Linked DNA regions of Mus musculus. The protein of the gene in region 1 interacts with the protein of each later gene in a pairwise test. Links are inferred from orthologs where the notes say so. Each region holds a gene or a part of one and is shown on either strand. Other genes may lie near its edges.

Region 1 (4,153 bases):
CACACACCTTTATTCCCAGCACTCGGGAGGCAGAGGCAGGTGGATTTCTGAGTTCGAGACTAGCCTGGTCTACAGAGTGAGTTCCAGGACAGCCAGGGCTACACAGAGAAACTCTGTCTCGAAAATAAACAACAACAAAAAAAAGAAATATGACTCAGCCAAAATGCATGCCATACAGCATATTACTATTAAGTGCGTCAGATAATGAAAACTTTACCTTTGGTAGGTTTTAGATCTTCCTCCGACTTCTAGGCTGGCCGGGAACTCATTGTGTAGACCATGCTGTCTTTGAACACAGGATCTTCCTGCCTTAGCCTCTCAAGTGTTGAGGTAAAATCTATCTGTTGATTATTGTTTAATACAGATCTTTCTAACCTTCTTAGTGGGGTTTTCAGTCAGTCATATTTACTTAAAACCCCATTATATGTTAGGTAAATTAACCAAAATTTATTTTAATATCTAGCTAAACATTATCTTGCCAACAGATTGTTTAGCAGTCAACTAGCATATATTTCAATGAATTGAAGTTAAATTATATAGAAGCAAAATATTTGTATTTCAGTAAATAATTGTATAAATACAATTGGGTTTTTATAAGTTAGTATGTCAACCCTAAGTTTTTTAGAAAACTGGATTGCATTTATTTCACAACTTTCAGGTAGCTTCAATAGTTAATACTTTAAAAATGTATATGATGTTTCCTATCTGCTATAAGATGAAAGAATTCCCATAAGCACTATTGATTTGATCAGGGTTAGCTTGCCTTATATTGCTGCTAATAATTTCATTGAACATTGTTTCTTAGTAAAACTGTAAAACTTAGACATATTTTTGGCCAGAAATACACGGTGTATTTTGTGCTCTTGTCTCCCAGGGTATAACAAGAAGGCAGTGAGGGATGCGCATGAGAATGGGGACGTGGGGGCTGCAGGTGAGAGCCCTCTGGATGACACTGCTGCGAGAGCGGCTCATCTGCACAGCCTGCATCAGAAGAAGGCCTACTAACCCAGACACGCTGCTTGTCAGACTCGTGGAGTGTGGGGCACTAGAGAAGACGGTGACAAAGACTGCACAAGATCAGGGAGGCTGTGTGTTGCCTAGAGAAAGGCGGGAACCTCAGGGCTTCATGTGAACAATTCTAAGTGCATAAACCCCTGTTTTCTGTGGTATACCTTAATTAGCTATTGCATGGAAGGCAGTTTTGATTTTCCTGGAATCTAAGCACCAAAGCATGTGTTTCCCAAAGGGGTTTTACTAGGCTCTTACAGGCCAAGTGGATGCTATTTCATTTGGCTCCTTTTCATGTATAACAGGACAGTGCTAACTGGAATTCTCTAAGTACCCTTTAAATACAGCAGAGTAAATGATACCATATATTCCCTAAGGATAACTGCGGAATTTCAGATGACAGAACTTTACTCAGTGAATTGCAAAAATCTAGGTTGACATTTTTGCTTAATTGAAAATTTTGTTTCAGGTTTTTTTTAAAAAGTATCTTGTACATTCCTGATATCTAAATTAATTACTATCTTAAATCATTATGATGAGTTCACTCTCCAGGTAACTCAACTGCAGTACAAAACGGTTTTCTTTAGGCAATCCTGTATCAATCAATGCTGCTCTAGGAATAGTTTGGGAAAAGTTACTGTGCATTTGACTTTGGACTTTTAAAGGAAACGCAGACAAGTGGAAAATGGCCTGTTTTCAATTATGTTGATCTGTGTGCATGGTATTGGAGCATTACACTGTTAATGTTTAGTCCCAAATGTTAATTGTCTGGAATCCACGAAAAACAGCTTTATACATTTTTGAGCTGTTCCCAAGCTTTGTCTTGTGATAGTCAGGAACATTACTATGTCATGAAATACATTGTGTTCAAACAGCAGTTGGCTTTAAGTACCTGACTTGCCAGTCATTTAAAAAGCCGGGGGCCAAGGTAGGCAAGATGAGGTAAAGACATTTTGGTACAGTGAGCATATTGGTTTTTATATCAGTATATGTTTGACTAAAGCAATACTCGTGTGCAAACTCTGTAAATGTATTAGTTCTATTGTATCAGAACTAAGTACAGAGTGCCTGCTCCCTTCTTTCCTGACCTACAGACAATTGCACCCTGCCTGCCGGGCAAACTGAAAATACTGTACTTAAAGAGGTGTGATTTTTGCTAAGTCACTGTTTTAAAGGATTTACACCTAAGGGAATCTTATGTGGGAGAAGCCTACATATATCGGGCTTTTACAATATCAGTATCTTCTTTCTTGGTATGCTTGTTTTTCCCAGATGCATTATATATTTGTTCAAAGTTAAAATCTATAAAATGTATATACTTTATTTTGTGATTTTGCTATTTATAAATTTTCTTTTTAACTGTTGCTCATTTATGGTCTCTGGGTGGTTTCGTTCTTCATAGTATCACCATGTTAACTGGTAACTGAAAGTGCACTTCGTATGTATATTGTTAGTGATGCTGAGATACCTTGTAGTGTAACATTGCCTGTAAACAAGGTTAGTATTTTAACTGTACAAATGAATAAACACGTTACATATTACTGTTTGCTCCTGATAGGCTAGACCTCTTAAAAGAAAGATTGTTTTTTCCTCAAGTATTCCTCCCACACCAAACACATACCCCAGTGCATGACTTGAGACCTTCAAAGTAGGTGGTAGCCATTGTATTCATTTAAGGAAAAAATGTTCATGGTAACAGATCTGAAATATTTTTGCTTTGACCTGAAACCATGCTGCTCCTATATCCTTTCAGCATTGCCTGGGAAGGACCAGGGCCATTTTATTTTCCTTTTTATTCATAGATTATATGCCTTATATACTATGATTGAATCGCTAGGAAATGTAAGCTATATAACCCTTTGAATTTTTTCAAGAACTTCACAGCAGATGTGAAAGCAAAACTTGGATGAGCATTTTCATGTGCTGCCTAGGAGGGATTGTGTGAGATGGGTACAGAATATATTTAGAAAGAGTAGTTTATGGTTCTACAGGTCCGTCTTTCCATCTCTGCTTTCTGGTTTGGAAGCATAGGAGAGTGCTGTGGCGTGAAACCTGCTCTGAGAGCATCCTGGTACTCTCCCAGGCCCACTGGAGAGTTCACTTCAGAGTGTGTGGTCCCAAAGCACTAAGTGAAAAGTAGTCTTTATAGTTCATGTTCATAGGAAAGATGCCCATATAACACTGACTCTTCTTGAACAAAGCCAAAAAATGGGGGGAAAGCTGTTGCAAAGCCATTACAATGAAAACGTGTAGAGCATGAGAGGTGTGTGCGTGGACATACTCACACTTATTGTGTGAAATTGTCTTCTGCAGTTTTCTGTTCTGAACATGATGAAAGTGACGTATTCGGGTTAGGGATTATTGTTAAATTAAATTTGAGAGAGATGAAGAGCTTGCAAGTCTGTTGATTAGAATTAAACAATTACAAATAACATAACCTGTCCATGGTGCTGGAATAGACCCCACAGCAAGGGGCTTATGTTGTTTTCATATTTTAAAACAAAAAATATATTAATTTACATATAAGGGGATTTATGATAATTGTATTATATCTAGTTGAGTTTCATATTCTTAATTAGCCTGTAAATAAAAATGACATATTCTACATTAAAGCAGTATTGATCAGATTTGAAGGAAAATAAATGTTTTCTCTTTCATTCACATTAAATATTTTGGTTTATTATGGGTTCTGAGTAGCTCCTGTGACTTGTATCATTGTGTCATGAAATACCCAAAGACTGAATCCAGCTGCTGGGGTAGAGTATCATAGATTGGGTAGGAATTGTTTAGGCTTAACTGTTTCATCTGAATTAGTTAGAAATCTGGTAGTTAGGAACTGTCAAAACAACTCTGGGATCGATAGTCTGTTTTAAACTTAGCAGATGGAAGAAACTCTGGTCTCTTTGGCTTGGTTTCGTATTACAGATCTTAAAAGCTAAAGTTACATAATGAGGACAGCATTGATAAGAGTATAGTATGAATCCTTGTATTTGAAAGGAAATTCTTTCATAGACACCTACATCTATCTAGTTTAGAGTTTTCCAAAGTACATGTAAGATTATTTTGGTAAACATTCATAAGCTCAGAAACTGTCTTTCATTATGAGCACTTAGAAATACTTGTCTCCTGCTGTCGGGCAGCTGTG
Region 2 (4,669 bases), on another chromosome or scaffold:
AGATACCCAGCAAGAATATCTTAAGCCCCTTTCCCTCATCCTTTTTTCTCTCCTAAGAGAGGTTGGAGATTCCCTTTCATTCTAACAGAGTCCCAAGATTTGCTCTGTCCCAAAGGAGGCTGTATCTCCTATTTTGGAAGCGGGATGGGTTGCCATCAGAGGTTCTGTGGTGACCCCTAAGTCCTACCCTCAGTCGGAGTGGGCTCTGCTTTATTATTACCATCATTATCATTATTATTTATTTGTTTAAAGACTTATTTATTTATTATATGTAAGTTCACTGTAGCTGTCTTCAGACACTCCAGAAGAGGGCGTCAGATCTTGTTACAGATGGTTGTGAGCCACCATGTGGTTGCTGGGATTTGAACTCCGGACCTTCGGAAGAGCAGTCAGGTGCTCTTACTCACTGAGCCATCTCACCAGCCCTTATTTATGTTTTAATGTTGTTCCCCTTCCCAGTCCTCCCTCCAGGATCTCCCCAATCCCACCTCCCTCCCCTTCGCCTTTAAGAGGGAGCTCAACCACCCACCCACCCGTTGTTCCCTCCTCACCCTTCTAGTATCCTCCTTCTTGGCGCATCAAGCCTCCACAGGACCAAGTGCATCCCCTCCCAAATAACTCTTCTTTCAAAAGAAAAAACAAACACATTGTGTCAAACGAAATGCTCCTCAGAGTCAATGTGATGATGTTGCTTAGGTCTTATTTGGGAAGTTAAAGATGCAATCTTTAATTTTATTGTATTAAAAAGCAATTGAAGCCGGGCGGTGGTGGCGCACGTTTTTAATCCCGCACTTGGGAGGCAGAGGCAGGTGGATTTCTGAGTTCGAGGCCAGCCTGGTCTACAAAGTGAGTTCCAGGATAGCCAGGGCTACACAGAGAAGAAACCCTGTCTCGAAACAAACAAACAAACAAACAAACAAACAAACAAAGCAATTGAAAGAAGGGCTTTGCTTTAAGGGCCGGAGCCTGCGGAGGTGATGCGAGGTCGCGGAAGTGGCCAGATCAGCTGCACTCAGTCCTCTCCCCCAAGCTTGGGCTTGCTCTCCAACTCATCGCGTCATCTGCTGGGTATGTGGAGTTACTGCCTCAGGCCGCCAGAGGGCGTCTCAGATGGAGCAGGGGGCGGGAACCTGGGCTCCTCGCGAAGACTGCAGCCTCCACGGCTGAGAGGCAGAGAGCCGGGAATCCCGGGTGTCAGTATTCCAGGAGTGAGATGAACGCCCATGGTACAAGCGGTCCACCATGGCCCACGGATCCTTCCTTCCGTGCCAACGCCTTCCGAGGTCCACACGGAGAAGGCGGACCCCAGGACGCGTCTGGAGCAGGTGCCTAACCCTGGACCTCTAGGGCCTGGGCGGAGAAGAGGACAGCGGAGCGTACAGGCGCCTAAGAGGGGCGCAGGGGCCCCAAGGCAGTAACCACGCCCCTCTAAGACCCCGCCTCCATGCCCCGCCCATCCCGCCCCCTCCCTACTGTGGTGGGAAACCCGGGGCCCTCCACAGCCACCGAGTCCCGCCATGCACGTTGCGCGGCTCCTACCTCTGCTGCTCCTGTTGGGGCAGCAGCTCCGGGCTGCCAGTGTCACAGAGCCGACGCTACCCACCGTGGTCCTTGCCATCCTGGCCCGCAATGCTGAACACTCTCTGCCCCACTACCTGGGTGCGCTGGAGCGCCTGGACTACCCCCGGGCCAGGCTGGCCCTCTGGTGAGAGATCCAGGGGTGGGTGCATATGGGCATCAAGCCCCAGGACCCAGGAAGGCTTTTGACCTGGAGGCCTCATTACTTCTGCCCAGACACAACCCGAACAAGCTCCTCCCTCCCAGACAGCCCTTCAACAGTATTCCTAGACCCCGCGGGGCAAGAATAGACCTCTGAGGCCAGGGTTCAGCCCAGGGACACTCACCCCTCCTTTGGGCTCCCTACATGTCTCGGGCGTCCCCGGCTTCCCGGGTTTCCCCTGGGTTTCAGTTAGGCCTGTCCTTTCTGACCTAGCCCTTGGGGCTCGGCAGTACATCGCAGTAAAGACCTGTGGTCTGCCTGATGTGCGGTAGAACAGACTGAACCTCTGGAATCCCCTGGGGCCCAGCATAGAAAGGATCAGTCAGACTGGAGGTTTCTAGAGAGCAGGTGGAGGGAACCCTCAGCTCCAGGCGGCATGCTCGGGTGCCCTTCTGAGTGGTACTGCTAAGCTTCTCTGGGTAGAGAGAGGGGCTGGCTGGTTCTGATAGCCAAGGGTGTGGTCTCATGGGACGCTGGGATCAGAGGTTGCAGTACCCTGTCTAAAAAAGTCAAAACAGGGAGGAGCCTGAGCAGAGGCTGGAGATAGAGTACTCCTCACAGCACACCAAAGTTGGGCTGGGGTGGAGCTGTGGCCTGGGGAGGCTGCCCACAGCCACCACACTTGGGGAGTTAGTTAGTTCCCACCCCTGTAAGACTTGACACGTAGTTCTGGGGAATTGGCTTAAAGGAACAGCATCGCCTAAAACCTGGGCTCTTGGCTAAGCCTTCCACCTCCATTACTAGAGCCCCCTCCCCAGCAGAGGGAAAGCTGTGCTCCATGGTAACAGAACTTGGATCACCACTAACACTTCTCAGGGGTTGTCGGAGCATGGTGTGAGCCTAATTACAGCTGGGGGGAGTTAGGTAAGGAGAGAAAGGCAATGACTGTTTTGTCTGATTCTGAGCTGGAAAAGGCCTGATGTGTGGAGCCATGAAGAGGGACGGAAGTGAAGGGACGTGGCAGGTGCAATCTTTAAGCTCAAGGGACTTTTCAAGTGCACTCAGGCCGAGGATGGCTCAGGGGTCAGGGGCTTGCTTGATGTGTACAAGTCTCTGGGTTCAATTCCCACAGTACAATGCACAAAATTAGAAGGACAGACGTGAAGCACAGAGAGGCATGGACCTTGCCTGAGGCTACACAGGACATCCTCCAGCACCTCCACTGGAGCGCACAACTCTGCCCCATCGCTCTCAGGACAGTCATTCTGTGTTGTGCTCACAGGTGTGCCACAGATCACAACATGGACAACACCACAGGGATGCTCCGGGAATGGCTGGCTGCTGTGGGTCGGGACTATGCGACTGTCGTCTGGAAGCCTGAGGAGGAGGCCAGGTGGTTAACCGAGGGCAAGGGTACTGGAAGATGGTGAACAGCTATTCCCCAGGGCACAGCCCCCAGAGCACGCATGTCTATTCTATGCAGAGAACGAGAGGCCCCTCTCTCAAGAGAGCATTTCACCTTTCTCCACTTCAGGTCCTACCCAGATGAACAGGGTCCCAAGCACTGGACCAAAGAACGGCATCAGTTTTTGATGGAGCTGAGGCAGGAAGCACTGGCCTTTGCCAGGGACTGGGGAGCTGACTACATCCTGGTAAGAAAGCCTGGCTACAGAGTATGGGGGAGGCCTCAGGACCTGCTTCCAATAAAGTCTGGTTATAACCAAACTGTCTATAGGACAGATCTTCTGAAGACTGAGCTGAGACCCCTGTATTTAAGCTCACACTAGATACTAAGCCTGGCTCCTTGTACAGGTCTTAGGTTATATGCTGTTCCTAGATTCCTGAGCTTTTGTATGCCAAGAGTATAAACTGAGCCTGGATCCCTGGATTAGAGCTCAGAATAGAATTTTTTTCCAATATTTTTGTTATGTTTGCTCACTGGGTTTTCGAGACAGGGTTTCTCTGTGTAATCCCGACTGTCCTGGAACTCATGCTGTAGACCAGTCTGGCCTCAGAGATCCTCCTGCCTCTGCCTCCCAAGGGTTGGGATCCAAAGTGTGTGCCTCCACCACCTGATTTACTTTTGTTTTTCAAAGGTGGGTGTCTTGGTGCATGCAGCCCACAGAGGGCAGAAGGGGGCCTGGAAGCGAACTCCACTTAGTAGTGAGTCACCATTGGGTCAATGGGTTTCCAACTCAGGTGCTCTGCAAGAGCTACCAGTCCTTTTTTTTATTTTCGAGACAGGGTTTCTCTGTGTAGCTCTGGCTGTCCTGGAACTCACTCTATAGACCAGGCTGGCCTCGAACTCAGAAATCCGCCTGCCTCTGCCTCCCAAGTGCTGGGATTAAAGGCATGTGCCACCACCCCCCAGCACTCTTTTTTTTTTTTTTTTTTGGTTTTTTGGTTTTTTGAGACAAGATTCTTAGATCTGCTACTTGCTCTGCTCTAAGCCAGCATCTCAGAATGGCCCTTTGTCAGAAATGGTTAGCCCCTTCTCATATCTGTATCCTGTATCCTGTATCCTGTATTATGTATGTATGTATGTATGTATGCATGTATGTATATATAAGTGCACATGCCATGGTATGTGTGTGCATGTCAGAGGATGGCTTTCCAGAGTTGGTTCCTTCTACTGTGTGGGTCCCAGAGACTGGATTCTAGTTGTCAAGCTGGGCAGCAAGTGCCTTTACCTTTCTAGGCGCCTCTCTCTGGCCCTGGTTAGATCTCTGTGTGCTCAGAGCTACTCTGAAGAAATTCCCCCTCAGTGAACTCTGGTCCCGAGTCTGAGACAGGATTCCCTGTGACACTGTCCTTCTCCAAAGTTCGCAGATACAGACAACATTCTTACTAACAACCAGACACTGAAGCTTCTCATAGATCGGCAGCTGCCGGTGGTGGCCCCGATGCTGGACTCTCAGACCTATTATTCCAACTTTTGGTGTGGGATCA
Region 3 (4,828 bases), on another chromosome or scaffold:
ACTACTTCTAAGCAAGTTAATTGGAAGGCCAAAATAAAATAAATTAAAAAAAGAAAAAAGAAAAAGAAAAAAAAAAAAACAAGCGCGCGCGCGCGCACACACACACACACACACACACACACACAACACACACACACACAAAAAGGGGAAGCAGTGGGCAGCCAGGCTCCGAGTGAAAAATGGGCAGGCCAGCCCCGCCTGGCGACGCCGCGCCGCACCCCGCCAAGACCCGGCCGCAGGGTGGCGCGGGTGCCCGGTGCGCCCAGGACGCCCGCTGTACCGGGCGGCGCCGCTGAGGGTGCGGACGACTGCGCACGGCCGCGCCCTCCCCGCGAGCAGCTCTGCGCGCCGGGCTCTCTGCCTCGCGGTGGCGCCGCACTGAGCCGCCCGTCTCGTCTTCAGGGCTGCGATTTTTTTTTTTTTTTTTTTTTTTTCCTTTTCTAAAACCCGGAGCCCAGGCCGGCGCGGCCGCTTTCGGGGCCCCGCCCCGCGCCCCTTCCTTTTGGTTGGGGATGGAGGGGAGGAGGTAGGGAGGCCAGGGCGCAGGCGGGAGCAGGCGAGGGAATCCCTCTCCCTCCACGTCACCCGAAGGCGAGGAAACCCGCATTCGCGTCCTCTAACGCAAATGACCATCTTTGGCAACGTGCGCCAATGGAACAGACCAAGGGCGCTGCGCCCCAGGGGGGGTGGAGGAGTTCGGCGAGAACGCGGGCGGCCTCGGCGCCCCCGTAGTGCGAGGGCCGCGCTCTCCCACCCTCCCCGCCTCCCGCCTTCCTCGCGCGGGGTCTGTGGCTGGCGTCAGCGCGACCGCGAGCGAGGCCGGGAGGGGAGCGCCCCGCCCGCCTTCTCCCCTCCCCTCCCGCGCCTCTTCCTCCTCCTCCTTGTCCCAGGCCTCCTCCCCCGCCGCCTCGAGCGCTCCTCCCAGCAAGGTGGAGTCTAAGGTTGACGTGAGTGGATCCACATGGTGCGGGGCTGGAGAATAAAGAGTGTGGAGTTGAACTCGTGCCATTGTAGTGACTCATCTCGGGCAGAGCGCAGGGGCTCGAAGCGAGACAGTGAGCGGCGCTCGGCAGGGACAGAGAGAGAGAAAGAGAGCGAGCGCAAGAAAGAGGGGGAGAGAGGGGAGGGCGAAGCGAGGCGAGAAGCGCGAGGCTTGGCAGGTCCTGGAGCCAGCACGGGGTGCAGGTCACTGCGACGCGGAGCCACGTCCCTCTCAGCACCGCTCAGCCTAGAATCCCACGGGCGCTGTCCCACCGGCGCGATCGGGGCCGCTGGACCGGCGCTCACCGCCTTGTCCTAAGTCAAGTGTCCGAGTCGCCGGGAAACTCAGGCGGCGAGTTGGCCACAGGAAGTTTATTCTCGGGCTCCTTTTCTAAAAGGAGGAAACAGAAGTTTCTCCCAACCGGCAGCTTTTCTTTTTCGCCTTTTTGGCGCCCTGAGAGATCGGGGAGGGAGTCCCCCAGAGCTGCCAAGCGACACCCGCGGGGCTCCTAGTCTTTTTGCGTTGCCCATTTTTCTCCAGCCCGTGGGTCCCGGCAGAGCTCCGGCTGCGCGCGGGGGCGGAAGGGCGCGCGCAGGGGAGGGACCGAGGGACGCGCCGACTTTTTAGAGGGAGGGACTCGGTGGACAACCGGTTCCGCGGAGCTTGCAGAGCAGAAACGAAGTGCGGTGCGCGGCGATCGGGGGGGTCACTTCCCGAGTGTCGCTGCCTCCTGTCTGCCTTGGTTAGGGGACATCCCGGGAGCGAAAAGCCCAGCCCGTGGCCGGGCCGGTGGACCAGCGAGCGCGCAGCAGACTGTGCGCGGCCGCGGCGAGGGCGGGGAAGAAAACCACCCTGTTTCCTCTCCGGCCCCCACCGCGGATCATGTACCAGGATTATCCCGGGAACTTTGACACCTCGTCCCGGGGCAGCAGCGGCTCTCCTGCGCACGCCGAGTCCTACTCCAGCGGTGGCGGCGGCCAGCAGGTACGTGCGGGCCGGGGTGCACCTGGCGGCGCGGGCAGACTCCTACCCTCTTCTTGCTCCCACTGCCTCCACCCCCAACCTCCTTCTTTTCCCTTTCCTAGCCAGGCTAGAAAAATACTTCACCGCTGTAAGTTGTGGGTTTCTTTTCTTTTCTTTTTCTTTTTTTTTTTCCTGTTCCGCCCTACCCACTCTCCACTTTTCTTTTTCTTTTTCTTTTCTTTTCTTTTCTTTTTTTTTAAGCAAGTGGAGAGTGGGCTTGAAGAGCCAACGACACCCTCTCCCCCTTTTCGTACTTAATTTTCCAGAAAAGCTCTTGAAATTACAGGTCCCCTCCGGGAAGCCTGTTGCCTCCTTCCGAGCCGCTCTCCCTCCCTTTTCACGTTCCTCTTTCTAGGTAGTGGATAGGCAAGAAAATTTTTGCGCCCCCTAAGCCCCTCCCAGCCGTCAAGGACCCTACGGGGGGGGGCGGGGGGGAAGGCTTTTTAACCCTTTCTTCTTCTGTTATTCTTCGGTCTTAGCTGTTTTCTGAAAGGGATTGGGGACTCAAAAACAAAGCTGGGCTCCTTCAAGTGTTTGGGAGTGAGGGCGAGGGTTGCCCCTGGGAATTAGGTGCGAAGGTCAGGAAGGAAGAAGCTGGCTTTGATTGGCTCTTGACACCTCCTGTGACACCCCCCCTCCAGCTTCCGGTAAGGGTTGGGCAGGAGCCTGTACTTCCCCCCCCCCCCAGCAGAACTTTGAGGGGCTTGGGGGTACCTGGGGCAAAGAAGCTGTCAGAGAGAAGTGGGAGAAAGAGACACATCGCTTGAGCTCCTGAGTGGATTTAGAAGTAGAAAAACATCTCTTTCTAAAGCAGCCAGACTGGTTTGCACTGAAGGATTGTGCCTGTAATCTGTGTCTTTGTAGGTACCAGACAGGTATTGGTGGGGCGGTAGGGGTGGTAGGGTACCTGGCCTGTGTCGCAGGAACCACAAACACCATCTTGTGAGGGAATTGCATGAACTCAAAAGGTCCTCTGCCACCTGAAGCCCACCTTGGCAAGCATCTGGGAGTTCCTAGCCAAGCTGGCTGCAGCCAGAGTTACTCCATAAGCCAATAGCCATGGCCTTGACTTTGACCTTTAGAAGTCAACCAGATAGGAGGTCAGGGGTCTTCCAGGGAAGGGTGGAGTGAGCTGGGAAATATAATAAAAATATGGCTTTCTTTGTAATCTGACAAGAGGGGCACCTCTCTCAAAGTAATGTTCCATATCTGGGGAGTCCTTCTAAATGACTTTTCTGTGTCTAGCTCCTCCCAAGCCCCATACCTACTAAGCACCCACTGTAGACAGCCTGGTCTGAGCATTGAGGGTCCAGTCAGTGGACCCTTTCTTACTACTGAACACCCAAATCATACCTGAGAAGTAGTCGCTTATGTTTGCATCCCAGTACATTTGGTGTTTTGGGTTGAACCCAAACATCACTCATCAATGGGTTTAGAGTCCTTTATACCTGTTGTCCCCTACTTTCCAATCCAATAACCCCACCCCATGTACCTCTCCTTTCCAACCAACATAGAAGCTTTGCGTTTCTGTTTCTTCCACTAATGAGACCAAGACAGTGAGCACTGACAGTACAATCTCCCTGCCTGGCTTTGCTCAGACTCTGGGGCCTGGATGGGAAGTCAGACCGGACATCAGTGCCCCAACTGAATAATCTGTGTCACTAGGGCTTTGAGCCCAGGATGTGAGCGGAGGCAATTCCCTGTTTTGGAAGCAAATCAGACAGGAAACCGATGCTCGGATGAAGGAAGAGAGCTCCGTCCAGCAGTGTGTAATAGGGCCTCATTACCCAAGCAAAAAGCAGCTGTTGGCTAATTCCTAGCATGCTGTAACACAGGAGGATTTTGCAATTAGCAGCAACCAGTGCATGCGATTCTCAGGTATAGCTGCCTATTCTGCTCAGCCTTATGAGCAAGAAGTCTTTCAAACCAGAGGGATTGGCAAGGTAATGCCACTTAAGCCAACTCTCAGCCTTGTCGGGGCGGTGGGTAGGAGACGAGGAACAGGGGGAAGGCTTCCCCCTCCCTGATCTGGCTGTCTATAAAACTGTTCTGTGGTCCCAGTGATAGGCCTCTGTTTTTGTTACTTCCCAAGTCTGTGCTGCTACCCCACCCCAATCTGGGCTCAAGGTAACTTTATTACATGCCAGATAAAGTCTGTAATCAGCTCTGCTCCCAGCCCTCTACATGGGGAAGCTTTCCTGGCAGTTAGTGACTGGGCCTTCCTCCTTTATGACTGCACGGTGGACCAATCCAATCAGTGGAACTTGTGAGAAGTTCCTGGTTTTCCTTGTGCAAGTGCATACTATTTTCCCCCTGTTCTCCTTGTTTGTGGGGTCCTGTATCCCCATAAATTTGCTGTCTGGCACTCCCCCCCCGACCCCCCCCCCCGCGACATCTAGCTTCATAAGGTCTTAATACTGCGTCTTAGTACTAAGTACCTAGTACTTCCCCACTGACCTGTGGGGTGGGAGGCAGACAGCTCTTTGTTAAGACCTCTGCTTGTGTCTATGGCAGGAACTCAAAACACGAAAACTATTTCCTGTTGTAGCTATAATCTCAATCTCAAAGGTTAATCAATCCCTGGCAATTTAATTTTTTTTGGAGCTAGGTGGATGCACCTCTTCCTCCTGGAGTGTGCTTTGTTGTTGTGATTTTCTTTTTCCTGGGACAACACCTCCAGATATATGCTGTGCCCTGCTCCTTGGCTGTTACGGTTTCAGGGCCCTGGCATTACGCAATCCAGCCAGTTACACAAACATAGGTCATTTCATAACTTGTTTTCTTCAGCCAGGCCCCCTTCAAATGAAAAACAAAACAAAACAA

What was found.
Region 2: the proteins of Gopc (region 1) and Cercam interact in a two-hybrid assay, tested with the Homo sapiens proteins (2 studies listed by BioGRID and IntAct). The two-hybrid records come from large-scale screens. The link is inferred for Mus musculus from reciprocal best matches to the Homo sapiens genes GOPC and CERCAM.
Region 3: the proteins of Gopc (region 1) and Fosl2 interact in a two-hybrid assay, tested with the Homo sapiens proteins (2 studies listed by BioGRID and IntAct). The two-hybrid records come from large-scale screens. The link is inferred for Mus musculus from reciprocal best matches to the Homo sapiens genes GOPC and FOSL2.

What each region holds. Positions count from the first base shown.
Region 1 is NC_000076.6:52,336,575-52,340,727, reverse strand, and holds the end of Gopc (Golgi-associated PDZ and coiled-coil motif-containing protein), read left to right. Parts: intron 1-874; coding exon 875-1,005; 3' UTR 1,006-3,704; downstream 3,705-4,153.
Region 2 is NC_000068.7:29,868,021-29,872,689, forward strand, and holds the start of Cercam (inactive glycosyltransferase 25 family member 3 precursor), read left to right. Parts: upstream 1-1,473; 5' UTR 1,474-1,517; coding exon 1,518-1,705; exon of another isoform or gene 1,706-2,391; intron 2,392-3,002; coding exon 3,003-3,113; intron 3,114-3,254; coding exon 3,255-3,372; intron 3,373-4,542; coding exon 4,543-4,669. UniProt on the Homo sapiens protein: Probable cell adhesion protein involved in leukocyte transmigration across the blood-brain barrier. Does not express any beta-galactosyltransferase activity in vitro.
Region 3 is NC_000071.6:32,134,840-32,139,667, forward strand, and holds the start of Fosl2 (fos-related antigen 2), read left to right. Parts: upstream 1-1,632; 5' UTR 1,633-1,864; coding exon 1,865-1,966; intron 1,967-4,828.